3 linked regions of the Callithrix jacchus genome follow. The protein of the gene in region 1 interacts with the protein of each later gene in a pairwise test. Links are inferred from orthologs where the notes say so. Each region holds a gene or a part of one and is shown on either strand. Other genes may lie near its edges.

Region 1 (5,192 bases):
GGCGTCTGTTTCTCTTGACACTGCATTGACGTTGCACTTTGGGAAAACCACATTGTAGTGTAGGTGGTCCGTGAGCAGTCAGACTCCTTTCCCAAAGCTCTCTATTCCCTCCATGTCTGATCTAGTCCTGTTGGAGTGGTCTGGCTTTATGTGATGACTTCAGCATGTTTAGGTGGTATCAACGTATTTCTACTTTCTCCCTTGGCTCCTGTAGGATAAGAGTGGACCAATTTGCTTGTTAAACCCAACTCTCACCCTGCATTTGCCTTGGAGTTGTTCTGACTACAAGGGAAAAGGGAAAGGATGAACTGGATGAGGTATGGACAGAAAAACCACTAAACCACGATTGGTCAAACATTCCCCCGCTTGAACACCCAGATGAGAACCCATGTCTTAAGAGAACGACAGCCTTATCTATGACTATTTGCTAAGTTCTCTATGATTGTTTTCTCCATGTGAGAAATAACTATAGGTTAGAAAACTAAGATCTCAACAATTAAAGGAAAAAAGAACCAACCAACCAACCCAGAAACAGGGAGCTCTCTTTGCCCTTTGAAGGACTCTGTCAAGTCCCTGGAAATATACTAACAGATAACAGCAGGTTAGAGCCCAGAGGGATTTCAAAGTCATCGTTTCATGAGAAAACTGAGGCTGTAACTGATTTGCATAAGGTGACAAGGCTGGTTAGTGGTGAACAGGGACCAGGTTAATAGCTGAGTCTGGTCCAGTATTCCTCTCCCTACTTAGGTGACCCCAAATCCTGTATTTCTCAAGGAGATTTTGATTTCAAGCACTTTCCACTATCAAGAGTATTTGCATCTGACAGTTGCCCCACCCCAACTTGGGGCTTAGCCGGAGTTATGGTCCTGCCAACCACAGATCATTGAGCATCTGAGGTGGCCATCTGTCTCAGCTAAGAGCTTACTCTTCCATTTCCTTTTTAAGACCTGATTTGAGATAGTCAGTACCTCAGGCATTGTAGAAATTGCAATTATTCTTAAAAGAAAAAGTGTAAAATTTGTATTAATATTTAATTCCTACAATTTGAAAGAACTTGAAACTGCAATTAGATGGCAGTGCCCATCTGCTTCCAGGGGGCTCACATGCTCTTCCATCCCTTGGAGGCTGCAGAGGGCCGCCATCACCTTCGGATGTGCTCCTTAACAACGTGCCCACAGTCTCTCAAGAGGGAGCTCCAGATGGTGAAGGAAACTCTGCAGGCCATGATCCTGCAGCTCCAGCCAGCAAAGGAGGCGGGGGAAAGAGAAGCTGCAGCTTCCTGCATGACAGCTGGTGTCCGGGAAGTGCAAGCCTGAGGAGTGACGGGATGGGGGAGGGAGGTGGGCCACCATGTCAACAGTTTGGACCCGGGGGTCTACTCTCCCTTCCCACTGCATAACTAATGTGCCTGAATCAATTATGGAGACACAGAGCCTTGATGTCTTTCAGTGGAAAGGTGGTTCATGTTCATTCTCATGAGTCAGAAACCGAGGAGTCTGCAAATTGGAATATGGAGAGGGAGACTGATTTGCTGAATTTGCTTCTAAATGTCATTAAAAATTTTCTTTGCCATGTCATTCATGGGAATGTCCTGCACAGGATTCAAGAATATTTTCATTTCAATCCCCAGTAGAGAGAAGCTGGGGTGAATTCTGGAAAAAAATATCTCTTTTTTCTACACCATTTGCCTTCTGCTGTAACTAAAACATTTCCTGATTCAAGATTCTATAAAAAGGAAACCAAGCATAAGACTCTGTCATCCTACCTGTTACACGTTCCTACAGGTGCACCACTAAGAGAGCTAATTAACCTCAGAGTCTGGAATTAACAGCTTTTCACCTTACTTCTCCTGTGATCTAATATTATCTTAGAAAAATTACTATGCAATTTCCAAAAGATATTTTAGTTAGGCAGCAGCCTGTCAGTGATATGCCACCTTTCAGTTTCCTTTTGTGGCAATGATTACATCTGAAGAAAGGATCCTCGAGAGTCTCTGTTTCATCAGGACATTCTGTAATTTACCTGTAGTGAGGCTGTGAATGGATCAGGAGACCCGAATGAAATGTTTGAGCCTGTTCTGTTTTCCCATGGAACATATTTCACTCAATGCCAGGCAGTGCAGCATTTAGGAAAGCAGTGCAGTACTCAGTAATACAGTACAGTACTCAGGCAGTGCAGTACTCAGGCAGTGCAGTACTCAGTAAGGCAGTACAGTACTCAGAAATGTGCAATATTCAGTAAGACAGTACAGTACTCAGGAATGCAGTGTAGCGCTCAGTGAGGCAGTACAATACTCAGTAACACAGTGCAGTACTCAGTAATACAGTACAGTACTCAGGCAATGCAGTACTCAGGCAGTGCAGTACTCAGTAAGGCAGTACAGTACTCAGAAATGTGCAATAGTAAGACAGTACAGTACTCAGGAATGCAGTGTAGCGCTCAGTGAGGCAGTACAATACTCAGTAACACAGTGCAGTACTCAGTAATACAGTACAGTATTCAGTAAGGCAGTGCAGTACTCAGTTACACAGTGCAATGCTCAATAAGGCAGTGCAGGGCTTAGTAAGGCCGTGCAGTACTCAGTAACACAGTGTAGTACTCAGTAGGACAGCACAGTTCTCAGTAACACAGTGCAGTACTCAGCCAATGTAGTACTCAGTAAATCAGTGCAGTATTCAATAATGCAAGGGCATTGCGGGCTCCTGCTGGGCTCTTCCTGCAGGCCAAGCTGGGACTCCTATTGAGACAGCTGCAAAACAGGCTGATTTCAATTAGGCAGCACTTCCCAAAGTGCACTTAGGAAGGTGGCCCCAAGAGGTGCTCTCTAACCAAAGGAGTCCCCCTCTCTGGTCAAGTACCTTTGGTAAATACACCATACCATCATATCTGCTTGGAGAGCCACAGGACACATTAGCATATTAGTCTGTGAGAGAAGTTATAATAAGGAAAGCCACTTGATTTTATCTAACCTCAAACTTTCCAAGTTTAATGGATCATGAATTTTTTTCATGTAACTCCTATTCATATCCCATAGATCTAGTATTGGTCAGCGCTGCACTCTCCGAGGAAGTCCTAGTCCAAACACTGACTTATATCATTTCAGAAACCACACTCAAACTTGTGCAGATTGGTAAATTTAATCCAGTAAATGTTCTGTTTGTGCTTCTGTCCTCATTGATATGTTCAGGGATAGTGAGGTTCCTGCCTTCACTAGGATCCATGGATACGAGGCCATTTTGGTCATTTCCTGAAGTCACTGGCATTTCCAGAAGGCATCTGGTGCTTTGCTGAGCCTTCCATACTGTGCAGCACTTCTGTCCTCAGTCGAGGAGATGGCCCTGCTTAAGCCAGCAATTGGCTGGGGTTCAGGAAACGAAGCAAAAGCACCATATGTGAATGTGCTGATTGTGTTCCCTGCGGCTTTATCGCAAGCAAAATACACTCTACATATTTTAATAATAAGCATAATTAGTTTGTTCCTGGACTTCATTTTTCAATGATGAACCAAATTTCTGAATTATTTATAATTGTGTCTAAAGAAAATTATGAACTAGTCGCGTGGCACTTGGAATCCTTGAATTAATGCCAGTGAAGCAAAACTTGAGAAGAGTCAGGATTGACCACGTTGCCAATAACAAATTTCTACTTTGACATATGTCTTTTAAAAAGCCTCCCAGACACCAGACATGTTAACAGTCACTAGCCCAAGTGTTTTGTATTACTTAGACACCTCATGAAGTAATTCTGTGAGGTCATGGTGTATTTGAAAATTCTGCAAGTTAATAACTGCTTTGAATTATTTGAACCCCAAATAAGCGTTCTTTGGTACCTCCAGTGGATAGTGTATTCATTTCCCTGCAGCAAATTTTGAAGTATTTGAGCAGGTGAGTAATGTTTCTTTTTTTTGAGATGGAGTTTTCGCTCTTGTTACCCAGGCTGGAGTGCAATGGTGCGATCTCGGCTCACCACAACCTCCGCCTCCTGGGTTCAGGCAATTCTCCTTCCTCAGCCTCCCGAGTAGCTGGGATTACAGGCACACGCCACCATGCCCAGTAATTTTTTGTATTTTTAGTAGAGATGGGGTTTTACCATATTGACCTGGATGGTCTTGATCTCTTGACCTCGTGATCCACCCGCCTCAGCCTCCCAAAGTGCTGGGATTACAGGCGTGAGCCACTGCGCCCGGCCTAATGTTTCAACCCCATGCTGTAACTCATCTGTTGTCTTTGCTTGGTCTTAAAGTGTCATTCAGAAAGCCTGCTAAGAGCCAGAGTGCTTCTTCTGGCTACACAACCGTCTCAGGACAACCCCACTGCCTTAAGCCACTGCCTTAAGCCCTGGAAGACCCAGGACTGTGTATCCCCAACCATAGTATAAGGCCGTTTTTGTCAGGGCAACATAAAAATATCTGAGAGAGATTAGGACTTAGATTTAAAAGCATTAAAACAACAACAAAAATTTGTGTTGGAGATAGCTAAGACCACAAGCAAAAGCACATATTGAAGATGATGAGTTAGAGTCTGATTTGACTGGGATGTGGTGTGAGAGAGTAAGTGAGATATTCTACTGCCCGCCTCGCTGGAATGCTGGCTTTCAAATGGCCACCACTTTTTCTTTCACCTGCATTAGTTAGGACATGCTGTCTAGCAGTTACAGTCCCAGTGCCATCCAACTTTCTGAAATTTCAAAACTGAATCGATCCTTCTCCAAATAGTATGTAGCATTGGAAACTCATCTTTCCCTGCAGTAAGGCTGGTTTCCCCACCCCAGAAACATGTAAGGGGTGGTACCATGCTAAGCTCTTTACAGTCGTATCATATAATCCCCGTATCAACATTATAAGGAAGGTGTTTGTGGATGATGCAACTGAGCCTTAAGAGGACCAATTCTCTTTTTCTAAGGCACAGAGATGCTAAAATGTGGATTAATAGTGAACCTAACAGTCAGAGACAGGCAGCGTGCCCTTAACTAGTAGTCTCTTCCTAAAGTTCCTTTAATGTCCTTTTGAGACTTTGAGCCATGGGACTTATTTGTTCACCTGGTTAAGAACACATGGCCACTGTGAAAATCTTGGCTGGGGAGTCCAAGAAACTGAGCGTAGGGCAAACGAGGCTTCCCACACTTCCAGGGGAGCCTGACTGTGAAGTCTAGGCTCAGACAGGCTTCAACAAACCTATTCACCCCACCATCAT
Region 2 (5,806 bases), on another chromosome or scaffold:
AAGAGGCTGCTTGAGGAACTTGCAACACGGCCATCAAAAGTGGGAAGATCAAATTGGGGAGGAGATGAAAAGCAATCGCAGTCCCTACTCTGTCCTGCAGGGACTCTCTGCAGCTCCGCTCTGGAGACTCACAGCATTACCTCTCGGACTAATGCAAGGCTGAAGCCTAAACAACTCAGCTGATCTTTCTCTGAGCTTTCTGTCTTTCTGTTCACTCTGCTGGGGTAGAGTAGTGGTGGTGGAGGGTCGGGGGAGGAGGATAGTGGTGGAATGGCAATAATTACATTTTATTTATTAAAGTTTTACCTTGCAGCTCATGCTGGACTAGAGCAAATAGAGAGTAGTGAGGTCAGTAAGGGGCTTCCTTCAAGCAGAGTGGATGATGACAGGGCAGCTCGGCTGCAGGAAAGCAGGCTGTGTCACTGCAGGGCTGGCAGAAAGCAGAGATGGGGAGAGGTCTGCCTTCCCTCCCTTCCTGCAGAAAATTGCTCCGACAGCGCCTCCTTTTGGATAAGGCACAAAAGACCTTTCTTAGAGTTGCTGGTGTTCTGGGGCAAGGGATGAAACATTCCGGAGAAGCATACAAGCTAATATTAGCCATTAGCCAGACGTCCATAGTCCCCTAACAAAAAGGATAGGCTGTGACAATGAGGGAGGCAAGAGCTTGGGGCCCTGACCCAAGCCAGATCGAAGTCTACCTTGGGGCCTAGGGCAGGCAAGAAGCTGCCTGCAGACAGGAGAAGGAGAGAATGTAAAAGACCACGGTGGAGAAAGGGGCCGGCCCCAGGATTTCTAGGCTCCCACTCCATCCATTTCAACAGACTCATATGTATTTTTTTAGGATTTGCAATAAAGCAAGCCTGTCTTAACAGTCATCATTGCTACATGAGGTCATGCATAGCACCTACTAGTGGTGGTTTAGGCAATATCTGTCACGATGCCCTCAATGGCCAAGCCAGCTGGGCTCTGACCTGGCTGAGCCAGAGCAGGTCCTCTCATGTCTGTCGGATGTGGAGGCATCCCTGTCAACAGTCATGGGAACCCACAGGGTTCTTGGGCTAGAAGCATTTTGAAAACCACCGTCTGGCAGTTTGCAAAGCTTCATCACATCCATTATCTCAGCCCATCTTCTCAGTAAACTTCTGGGAGTGTAATAGGTGAACAAAATATGGTATGGAATGATCAAGACTTGCTCAGGGTCACACAGCCAGCAACTGGCCACAGTCTTTTTACTCAAAATTCTGGGGCCCTGTGCCCTGTCCATGGGCTCCTGGCTAAATGCTGCCTTCTAGCTACTGCACCATCTTGAACATGAGGGGATGGGAGCTGAGGGAAGCTGGCATGGTGAGCTCGGGCTGCCATGGGTGGATGGGGGGGGGTCTCTCTCTCTCTCTCTGAGTCCTTCGGAGTGCTCTCCTCCTGATGAACTCTCAGATATCATAACATCCTCAGGAATTATGTAGGCAGAAGGAGATTTTTCTTGCCTGTTAAAATTGCCACTTTTTTAAAAAACAAAATTTTCTGATTATAATACAGAGAAGAGAGTAGCAGTCCCTCTATTCTGGGATGAGCACTGTGAACATTCTGGTACATAATCTCCAAGTAATTTTTTGTGAGCAAGGATTAAAAAAAATACTGAACTGCCTGGGTTCAGACTTGGGCTATGCTGTTACTTAGCTGTGTGACCTGGGGCAAATTATTAACCAGTCTGAGCTTCAGTTTCCTCACGTGTGATATGAGCATAAAGGTGGATCCTACCTTAGAAATGTGAGAATTAAATGAATTATTAGGGGACAGGGTTTGGATTGGTGCTCAGTGTTAGCTCTTATTGCTACTATTGTCATTTTTAGTTTTGAGTGCTTACTCTGTGTCAGGGGTCAGGCCAGGCTTTTCACAGGGACTGTATCGTTTAATGCACTTACCAACTCCCTGAGGTCCATATTATAATTATCTGCTGTTTGCAAATGAGGATTCTGGAGGCTCAGAGGGGTGAGGGAACTTGCATAAGGTCACGTAGCAAGGAAGTGACAAGGCTAGGATTTGAATCTGTGTCTGTCTGACTCCAGGGCCTGCCCTCTTTATCAGTAGTCTGACCTGCCCTTATTAAATCTATTTCCTGTGCAAGGCAGTATGCAGGGGATAGCCACATTGGTTCTCATGTGTTATAAGACACCCTGAGGACTTAATCTCCATCCCTGCTGCGAGGCTTCTGGGGAACCTCCCTAAGAAGGGAAGCTGCTTAACAGACAGGAAGGACCTGGCTCCAGGCCTCCAGACGCTGCTGACCCCAGCTCCCTCTGTCCCCAGGACATCGAGAAGACCATGAGCACAGCTCTGCACGAGTTGCGGGAACTCGAGAGGCAGAACACGGTCAAGCAGGCGCCAGATGTGGTGCTGGACACCCTGGAGCCCCTGAAGAATCCCCCAGGCCCCATCAGCTCGGAGCCCGCCAGTCCCCTTCACACCATCGTCATCCGCGACCCTGATGCCGCCATGCGCCGCAGCAGCAGCTCCTCCACCGAGATGATGACCACCTTCAAGCCAGCCCTGTCCGCCCGCCTGGCGGGCGCCCAGCTGCGCCCACCCCCCATGCGGCCCGTGCGGCCGGTGGTCCAGCACCGGTCCAGCAGCAGCAGCAGCTCAGGCGTGGGCAGCCCAGCCGTGACGCCCACCGAGAAGATGTTCCCCAACAGCTCAGCGGACAAGTCAGGCACCATGTGACCTGCAGGATGGGCCACCCTGTCATGGCCCACTGTGGCTCGCCACGGCCCAGGGTGGCCTCGGTGGCTTCCACGTGCTTCCCAGTGACCCTGGCCTTGGAGGGCAGAGGTCAGCCTGGGAGGATGTGTCTGTGCAGAGCTGAGGTAGGCGCTGGCTGCAGTTCACGTCCAGCCGTGGGAATCCCACAGACCTCTCGCGTGTCCGCAGACGTCCAGAGGAGTGCCGGAACTCCGGCAGCCCCAACCACAGCATCTCCTAACATCGAGGTGACATGCGACGTGGCTTCTCCCGCATATCGTCACTGGAAACTTCCTCTCTCGACATTCTGTCTACATACCTATATGTGTGTGTATATCGATGTGTGCATATATACACATGTATATGTATGTATGTGTCTGTAGGTGTGTGTATATATATATATATTTATGCATCTATATACATATACTAGATCTGGACACACACATACTAAGTGTATATAGTATCTCCTTTTTCTTTTTATGAAACTTAGATTTACCTCAGACCCATGCCACCAAACATCTCCCACTGAGTTATTTGGTGGGATTTGCAGGGACTTTTCTGGGAGAACTTAGAGGCCCATAGTAACTGCGAATGAAGCAATATATCACTAACCTGCAGAAAAACACAAACAAAAACAGTCTCCCACTGTCTCCAGAAGTCGTGGCCTTCCAGAACAGTCTGCCCCTCAAGGAAGGGTGGGGCAGGCAGTACCCCTAAGCAGGCTGCTCCCAGAGGTGGGGAACCCTTCATAGAAAATCCCCACCCCTGTCCACCCCAGAGACCCTGCCCTTCCACCCGGAGGCCAAAGGCCAACTGTATCCCCGAAGGCACGGGAGAAAGTTGGCGAGAAGACCCCTGACCACCACATCCTTGTGTTTGTGTGTAGAGGCAGGGGATAGTGAGAACCTCAGCCCCATTGTAGCACAGTATTACATGTGGTTGGGAAAAAGGGAAAAATAAAAATACAGTGGTGTGAAATACTTCAAAACCTAGAAACGCTGTAGGAATAAATCTGTGGTAACTATAGAGGTTTAACTTATATCATTTTCAAAATATTTAATTTTTTCTTTTCCTGGTTCTACTAATTATACTGTGTCAGATTTGGAACTAAACAGGCAAGGAGGCTTTGAGTCACATCGTTTTCATTTTAAATCAGGCTGTGACGCACTATGGCTGGTGCCGTCTTGCATGAAACGCATGAGCCGTGAGCGCCCAGTTCAGACTGGGGCCAGGGAGGGACAGTCCTTGGCACTTTCTGTCCTAAAGGACACTGTCAGTTGAGTTAAAACAAGTGGCATAGCTTCCCTTCCCTTCCCCTTCACCCACTCCCTCCAGAACATTTAGCGTAGATGAAAATGTGGTGATAGGAATGGGTGCATGATCTTCGTGTGTGACAGCAAGGCCTTTGCCTCTTGGCTGAGCGAAGCCCTTCTGGGTCGCTCTCCTTTGATTTCTTTGTACCTCCTCTTCTGATCAGTTCCAGTGATGAGCTGTTTCTGGATAATGAAATGGCACAGGGTGAATCTGTGTGTCCTGTGGGCCACTGTTACCCCCTCCTGCCAGACCCAGAGGCTCTTCCCTATTCTTCCCAAGCTTCCTCTCTCTCTCGGCCACTGAAGTTTGGAATCAAAAGGCCCAGAGTCTGAGTCCCAGCCCTGAGCACTTAGGAGCCTTGTGACTTAGGGTTTGGCATTCCACCTCATTGAGCCTGGCTTTTCTGCTCATAAAATAGGATAATAAAGGTAAAATGGCAGTGAGCAAGCTGTGTACACTGGAAAGCACTAAATCAATACAATGCTCTTGTGATTATCATTAGTAAGGTAAGTGTTAAGATGAGAACCCTCCAGCCCTTCTTTTTGAAACCTCTTAATGGCATTTCAGAAGTGAGCAGTGGAATTTTCCTACCATCTTAATAAGAGCCCTGGATTCCATCATTAGCCATTCTACCTTGTCTGAAGGACTGGACTTGTCACCCCACAGTGAAAAGGAGCATCAGGAAAGGAACAAAGAAAGGATCTCAGGGAGAGGCCAGTGTCAAACTTGACTTCCCTTGTTTGGCCTAGAATGAACCCTTCTCTTTAACTCCTGGATACGAAAGGCCCTCTGCCTTGGAGCACAGAAAGATATTGCCATTTTACCGCTTCAGAGAGTAAGGCCTTGGGCTGTGCTTTGACCTGCCCAAGATTTGACAACTGGCTAAGAGCAGAGGCTGTGTCAGGCTCTTAAAGTCATGTGTTTGCATGCTCGACGCTATGCTAGCCAGTCAGGACACAAGACTTCTGATTTCTACCAGATCCTAAATCCAGTAGCCTCCCAGGCAAAATATAGCAATCTCTGCCACAGCTATCAGATGAAAGGCAACAATCGGAGTAGACAAATCTGTTGCCTGATATACATAACACCAATCAGACCATGTGGATTTTTCTCTGAATTGACTGCTTTTGTTTTTTTCTTACTGAAAATGGATCTGCCTTTCACTGAATTTTCTGAAGGCAGAGGCTTAGCTGTTTTCTTCAAGCACCTATTTTTTTTCCATTGGGAAATGGCTGATGAGTTCACATTTAGGGATGCGCACACACAGATGGCAGACGTCTCCCCACTCATCCAGGCCCAAATCTGAGCCCTGATGCAGCCCAAGTGGGAAAATACTTCCCCGCCCCCTCCCCTGTTCCCATTTCCTCATCTGGCACTATGCATGTCTCAGTCACCCTCCACAGCACTCAGTCCCATCAACGTTCACTGAACATTGGCTTTCTCTTTCTGACTCCTGCCTGTTTTAGTCCACTATATATTGCTGTATTTGCTTAAATGCTGGAAAGTAACTGTTAAAATGTGAAATTGTAATTTTTAAAAAGGCTACAATTAAATTTTAGCCAATGCCACTCACCAAATCTTTGCACCTAGTAGATAGATCAATGTAAAAACAAATACCAGAAACCTAACTGTACAGTGCGTGTGGGGGAAATGTAGTAACCTAGTTAGTAGTCTTCAATATAACCAGTTGTACAAGGGGAAGTGGTGTGTACCTACTTGTTCATCACCATTATTGAAAACCGTACTGATCAGT
Region 3 (6,395 bases), on another chromosome or scaffold:
AAATAGTTTCTTGTCATTGGTTCACACACATCACTGTTGTTTCATACTTCCTTTTCACAAATCCTAGCATAGGGTCTCTCACAGGATAGGCATTATCTTCTTTATTGAATGAAGAAGGAAACAGACTCAAGGCGATTTGTCCATGTAAGTGGGATTTAGATATATGGAAATGTTTATGGGAGACAAGCTATTACTTTGTTTCTCTTTAGTTTGGATCTTTTTTCTCTCATAGGGAGATGAAAGATGCACGTGTATTTATCTTATTTTCTTTTACTAGAAAATAAGCTCCCAAAGGGCAGGGATCTTTCTTTTTTGCCTTTGCCCACTGATGTTTCTCAAAGACCTAGAATAGTGCTTTGCACAGAGTAGGTGCCCAGTAAATGTATTGAATTGGGTGATCCAACAAAAACAAATGCCATAAAGAAAATGTCCCAGGCTGGACATGGTGGCTTATGTGTGTAACCCTAGTGCTTTGGAATACCAAGGCAGGAGGATCACTTGAGCTTCGGAGTTTGAGACTAGCCTGGAAAACATAGTGAGACCTTGTCTCTACAAAAAAATTAAAAAAGAAAAATTATCCAGGGGTAGTGTTGTACGCCTGTAGTTCTAGCTACTTGAGAGGTTGAGGCGAGAGGATTGCTTGAGCCTAGGAGTTCCAGATTACACTGAGCTATGATTGCACCACTGCACTCCAGCCTTGGCAACAGAGTGAGACTTCATGTTGAAAAGAGAGAGAAAAAAAGAAGATGTCCTAGCAACTGAGCATAGGGTATGACTTTAGGATTATCTATTTTTGTGCAGTTTATATTTATTTGGTATACAGTCTGATCTCTGCTGTAAGGTTAGGATAATTGTGAGTGGGCTCCAGGGTGCCATAATTAGCAGTCGTACTCAGACATAATTAGCAATCTTGATTCTCTAAATCGTGTGTGTGTGTGTGTTGGGGAGTGTGAAAAATAGATATATTTGGAACTCATAGATTCCTTAGCCAAGAGTAGGTCTTCTGAGCCCTACTTAAAAAAAGAATATGGGTTTAAATCTGTTGTCTGTCAGCTTCTAGGTAGAATTTTTAAAAAGATGTACTGATGGTAAGTTGGGTGAGAAATTTTTAAAAAGATGTACTGATGTCTGGAGCCATACCTTAAAAGGATTTCTTAGAAATGGATTGAGTTTTTGGGTTGGAGAAACAGGGCAAAGTTAGGCAGTACTTTTGTCACTTTGAGACATTTCTCTGTTCCTGTGCCTTGATAAAGAAACTCAGGTTCTATGTAATATGTCACTTTTCTAGTACATTGTTCTTTAAGTGATGATTCTTACTTTCTCTTCTAGAGCTAAAGTTGCAGACAAGATCCAGCTGATCAATAATATGCTGGACAAAGTCAATGAGATGATTATTGGTGGTGGAATGGCTTTTACCTTTCTTAAGGTGCTCAACAACATGGAGGTAGGAAACCAATGCCAAGTGGATGTGAAATAACTCTCCATGATAATAGCAGGTTGTATAAATGTAAAAAGAAAATGATCTTTTGACATGAGCCCTGAAACCCCCCCCCTTTCTTTCTGAGACTGAGTTTCGCTCTTGTTACCCAGGCTGGAGTGCAATGGCGCGATCTAAAACTCCCATTTTTATTTATTTTGGCAAGTTTTTCTTTTGTCTTTCCCTTGTTCCTTTATATTGCATTGTGTGTGGTTCCTGTCTGCTTTGCAAGGCAGTCTTGTTCTTAGTATAGATGCTGACCTTCATCATTTTGGCTTCCCTGTGTAGATCGGTACTTCTCTGTTTGATGAAGAGGGAGCCAAGATTGTCAAAGACCTAATGTCCAAAGCTGAGAAGAATGGTGTGAAGATTACCTTGCCTGTTGACTTCGTCACTGCTGACAAGTTTGATGAGAATGCCAAGACTGGCCAAGCCACTGTGGCTTCTGGCATACCTGCTGGCTGGATGGTGAGTCACTTGAGTGGGTTGGTAGTGTGAGTGAATAGAAACTTTGTGGTGTCATTCATTCATTGATTCAGCCAATCAACAAGCATTTTAAAACAATCTCTATAGGAGATCTCTGTCAGAGAGTGTGCCGCATGTTGCAGTGAGTCCCTTATTATGGGAGAATCCATAGGAGAAAAGCAGTGCTATTGGACTACTGGTGTCTTCATCAGTAATGTTGCAAAACCTTTTTTTTTTTTGAGATGGAGTCTCGCTCAGTTGCCAGGCTGGAGTGCAGTGGAGTGATCTCAGCTCACTGCAACCTCTGCCTCCCGGGTTCAAGCGATTCTCCTGCCTCAGCCTCTCGAGTAGCTGGGACTACAGGCGCGTGCCACCATGCCCAGCTAATTTTAATATTTTTAGTGGAGATGGGGTTTCACCATGTTGACCAGGATGATCTCGATCTCTTGACCTCGTGATTTACCTGCCTCGCCCTCCCAAAGTGCTGGGAGTACAGGCGTGAGCAACTGTGCCCGGCCCATTTTTTGTTTTTTCTGTTTTTTTACTTCTTCTGTTTAGTGTGTATAAAGTACTTACTGTGTGCTGGAGATAGTGTTATGCACTTTCGTGGTTTGGTTTGCTTTGGATTATTTTGCTACCTAGAAACTTATATAAGAAAATTTCTTGGCCGGGTGTGGTGGCTCACGCCTGTAATCCCAGCACTTTGGGAGGCCGAGGCAGGTAGATTACCTGAGGTCCGGAGTTCGAGACCAGTCTGACCAACATGGTGAAACCCTGTCTCAAAAAGAAAAAAAACTTTCTCATATGAAAAGATTAAGAAGTATACTGATTACAAGCAGGGAGGAATATATGTGTATATACTAATATAGTTGATTTTAGGGTACTCTGAATATCATTTTTATAGCTATATAAAATTGTAACATGTTTTTACATGCTAGTTTGCTTAGTTTTTCTTTTGTCAGGCATTCAGGTATTATTTAGTTCAGTGTTTCTCCAAGTGTGTTCCTAAGACCAGCAGTATCAGTATCATTTTTGGAACTTGTTAAAAATGCAAGTTCTTAGGCCCCACCCCAGACCTACTGAATCAGAAATTGGGGGTGGGGCTGAGCAGTCTTTTTGAATAAGCCCTTCTGGTGATTCTCATGCATGGCAGAATTTGAGTACGACTGATTTAGTTCACTGTCTGTCATTCCCAACACTATTGACATCTGTTTTATGAGTGACTGCTGAATCGTAAGGTTGTTTAAAGCAGCCTTGGCCACTAGATGCCAGTAGCAACCTCCCAAGTTGCAACAACAAAAATATCTCTAGACATTGCCACATGTCTATCCATTGTGGAAGGGCAGAACTGACCCTGGTTGAAAACCATTGATCTAGTCTTCGCTAACATAAATAGTATGGCTAAGAATGTCTTTATTAAATAACTTTTGAGGTTTTCCTTTAGACTTGCTCTTCCATACAGTAGAATTTTTGAGTACAAAGGGCATGAACAGGTTTATAATTTTAAAGACTGAAGGGTAACATTTGGTTCTAGAAGAAACTCTGGTGTGCAGCCTTGAGTTCTGGTCTTGGTAGAGGTGGTGTTTCAGTAGCTTTTCTTGATAGCTCATCTTCTCTTTCAACTCTGCCCCTCAGGGCTTGGACTGTGGTCCTGAAAGCAGCAAGAAGTATGCTGAGGCTGTCACTCGGGCTAAGCAGATTGTGTGGAATGGTCCTGTGGGGGTATTTGAATGGGAAGCTTTTGCCCGGGGAACCAAAGCCCTCATGGATGAGGTGGTGAAAGCCACTTCTAGGGGCTGCATCACCATCATAGGTAAGTGGTCCTATACAAAGGTAATACTAATATGAGCTGGCAGAATTCTGATCAGAGGAAGGTAGAATAGAGAACTTCTTCTGTCTCTTCATTCTGGGTAAATCTTAAGAGCTAAACAGGTAGATAATTTACCTCTTGGTAAGATAGAGTTGGGGGTCTATCAGCTATCTTTTGGGTTAGAGAGCACACTGCCTTACAGTTTTGGTGCCAAACATTTTTTTTTTCTTTTCTCTTTTTACCTGGCTTTCATTCAACAGGTGGTGGAGACACTGCCACTTGCTGTGCCAAATGGAACACGGAGGATAAGGTCAGCCATGTGAGCACTGGGGGTGGTGCCAGTTTAGAGCTCCTGGAAGGTGAGGTTCTTTTGTTTTTTGGCTTGCTTGGGAGAAGGGTAGGACTGTGCAGTGAGAGGTGGGTAAAATGGAGTAGAGAAAGTTGGTAGGTTCTGTTGTCATTAGCAGTCATTACTAGCTGGGCAGTACAGAGGAACTTCAGATAAAGCTCCTGGCATCCATTGAGGTGGGGAGGGACAGACAGAAACTTGTTCTGAGAGCTATGGTCTAGTAGACCTGGAATCCAAAATGCAAAAGTTCCTCAACTCCTGGCCATATATCCTAAAAAAGAGCTGGCATGTTATTGGGAAGATAAATGGGGGAGATCTGGCTTACTGGGCCCTATAGTAATGCTGTTTGTGTATGTGTGCTCTCTCAAAAACAGGTAAAGTCCTTCCTGGGGTGGATGCTCTCAGCAATATTTAGTACTTTCCTGCCTTTTAGTTCCTGTGCACAGCCCCCAAGTCAACTTAGCATTTTCTGCATCTCCACTTGGCATTAGCCAAAACCTTCCATGTCGATTCAGCTAGTGGCCAAGAGATGCAGTGACAGGAACCCTTAAACAGTTGCACAGCATCTCAGCTCATCTTTACTGCACCCTGGATATGCCTACATTCTTCAAGATCCCATTTGAATTTCTTAGTGACTAAACCATTGTGCATTCTAGAGTGCATATATTTATATTTTGCCTGTTAGTGAGCTGTGTTAGCTTAGTTTTGATGTAGCTTATTCTTACTAGCTTTGTTACTGTTTCACTACTCAGCATGGAAACAAGATGAAATTGCCTTTGTAGGCAGGGAGGTGAAATTGATGATCCATTAAATAAACAATAAAAGTGTCCATTGAAACCGTGATTTTTTTTTCCTGTCATACTTTGTTAGGAAGGGTGAGAATAGAATCTCGAGGAATGGATCAGATATCTACATTGCTGAATGCAAGAAGTGGGGCAGCAGCAGTGGAGAGATGGGACAATTAGATAAATGTTTATTCTTTATCAAGGGCCTACTTTGTGGCAGACATTGTTTTAGTGCTTTTATTCTAACTTACTTTTATTAGTTATACATGGTCATCCTTTAAAAAGTCAAGGCTTATAACAAAAAAGCCCCAGCCCATTCTTCCCATTCAAGATTCCCACTCCCCAGAGGTGACCACTTTCAACTCTTGAGTTTTTCTGGTATATACCTCTAGGTTTCTAAGTAATATGCTTATATTGTTCACTTCTTTTTTTTTCTTTTTCTTTTAAAGAAATCTGTTAATTTCATACCATGGAAGAAGTCTCTGTTCCACATATATTTCCACTTCTTCATTCTCTCATTATAGTTTTGTAACAATTTTAGATCAGAAGTCTATATAACTAATACAGCTGAGCTATGCAGTATGCTATGATTAAATTTACTTATGTAACTTTTATTTTTTTTGGAGTTAACAGAGTTTAAAAAAAATTCTTTTCTATGTATACCTATCAGTGATTCATTCCCAAATCTTCCAGAAGCATGTGTCAATATATTAAAACATACTGAATAATCCTTGTCAGAGCTATCCCTGCAGGAGTCCTTGGTGCTCTTTTTTCCATTTGTACTTGATGCCCTTTAGGTAAGTTGTACAGCTGTTGCTCTGGGATTTCCTATAACCTTCTTGGGGATTCCTTTTACCTCCTGTGTTAGACTCCTGATCTAAATTCCCCCTTTTCCTTCTTTCTTGGTCTACTTTTTGTAGAACACAAGACTCTACTAGCTTCCTGAGAAAGGGTGCCTGGGAGGCAAAATCTCTAAGATCTTGTAAGTCTGAAAATGTCTTTATTCAACCCTTATACTTGATTCCTAGTTTGGCTATATATAGAATTTTAGCCTGGGTATCACTTTTTGAGACTTGAAGCCATTGTTTCATTGTCACTGTCGAGAATCTAATGGCCATTTGGATTCTTTCATCATCCTTATAATTTTACCTTCCTATTTCTTTCCTGTCCTTTTAATGGAGTTTTGGGAGAGAGCAGAGGTAAACATCATTTGAAAAAGCTATGTCTGACCAGAAATTCTGTGCTGGGCATTTTACATGCAAGATACATATTTTACCTTTAGATATGAAGAAATAAACTTTGGACAGGATCACAGAGCTAAGTAACAGCAGGGATTCAAGTCCAGGTTTGTCTGGTTCCAATGGCTGATGCTTTTCCAATGTGCCTCCCTCCCTGACATGATGCTTCTAGACTATATCTTTTTTGTTTAACTCTGGATAGAATAGCAAAAGATAATTTTGGTTGCTCTAAACAAAACTTTGAAAGGTGAAGTTTTTTCTTGGTTCATTG

What was found.
Region 2: the proteins of DISC1 (region 1) and SRGAP3 interact in a two-hybrid assay, tested with the Homo sapiens proteins (2 studies listed by BioGRID and IntAct). The link is inferred for Callithrix jacchus from reciprocal best matches to the Homo sapiens genes DISC1 and SRGAP3.
Region 3: the proteins of DISC1 (region 1) and PGK1 interact in a two-hybrid assay, tested with the Homo sapiens proteins (2 studies listed by BioGRID and IntAct). The link is inferred for Callithrix jacchus from reciprocal best matches to the Homo sapiens genes DISC1 and PGK1.

What each region holds. Positions count from the first base shown.
Region 1 is NC_133520.1:52,904,871-52,910,062, reverse strand, and holds part of DISC1 (disrupted in schizophrenia 1 protein), read left to right. Parts: intron 1-1,177; coding exon 1,178-1,316; 3' UTR 1,317-5,192. UniProt on the Homo sapiens protein: Involved in the regulation of multiple aspects of embryonic and adult neurogenesis. Required for neural progenitor proliferation in the ventrical/subventrical zone during embryonic brain development and in the adult dentate gyrus of the hippocampus.
Region 2 is NC_133516.1:66,189,771-66,195,576, reverse strand, and holds part of SRGAP3 (SLIT-ROBO Rho GTPase-activating protein 3), read left to right. Parts: intron 1-2,307; coding exon 2,308-2,721; 3' UTR 2,722-5,806. UniProt on the Homo sapiens protein: GTPase-activating protein for RAC1 and perhaps Cdc42, but not for RhoA small GTPase. May attenuate RAC1 signaling in neurons.
Region 3 is NC_133524.1:75,879,911-75,886,305, forward strand, and holds the end of PGK1 (phosphoglycerate kinase 1), read left to right. Parts: intron 1-1,329; coding exon 1,330-1,444; intron 1,445-1,765; coding exon 1,766-1,945; intron 1,946-3,577; coding exon 3,578-3,755; intron 3,756-4,012; coding exon 4,013-4,111; intron 4,112-4,475; coding exon 4,476-4,516; 3' UTR 4,517-4,944; downstream 4,945-6,395. UniProt on the Homo sapiens protein: Catalyzes one of the two ATP producing reactions in the glycolytic pathway via the reversible conversion of 1,3-diphosphoglycerate to 3-phosphoglycerate.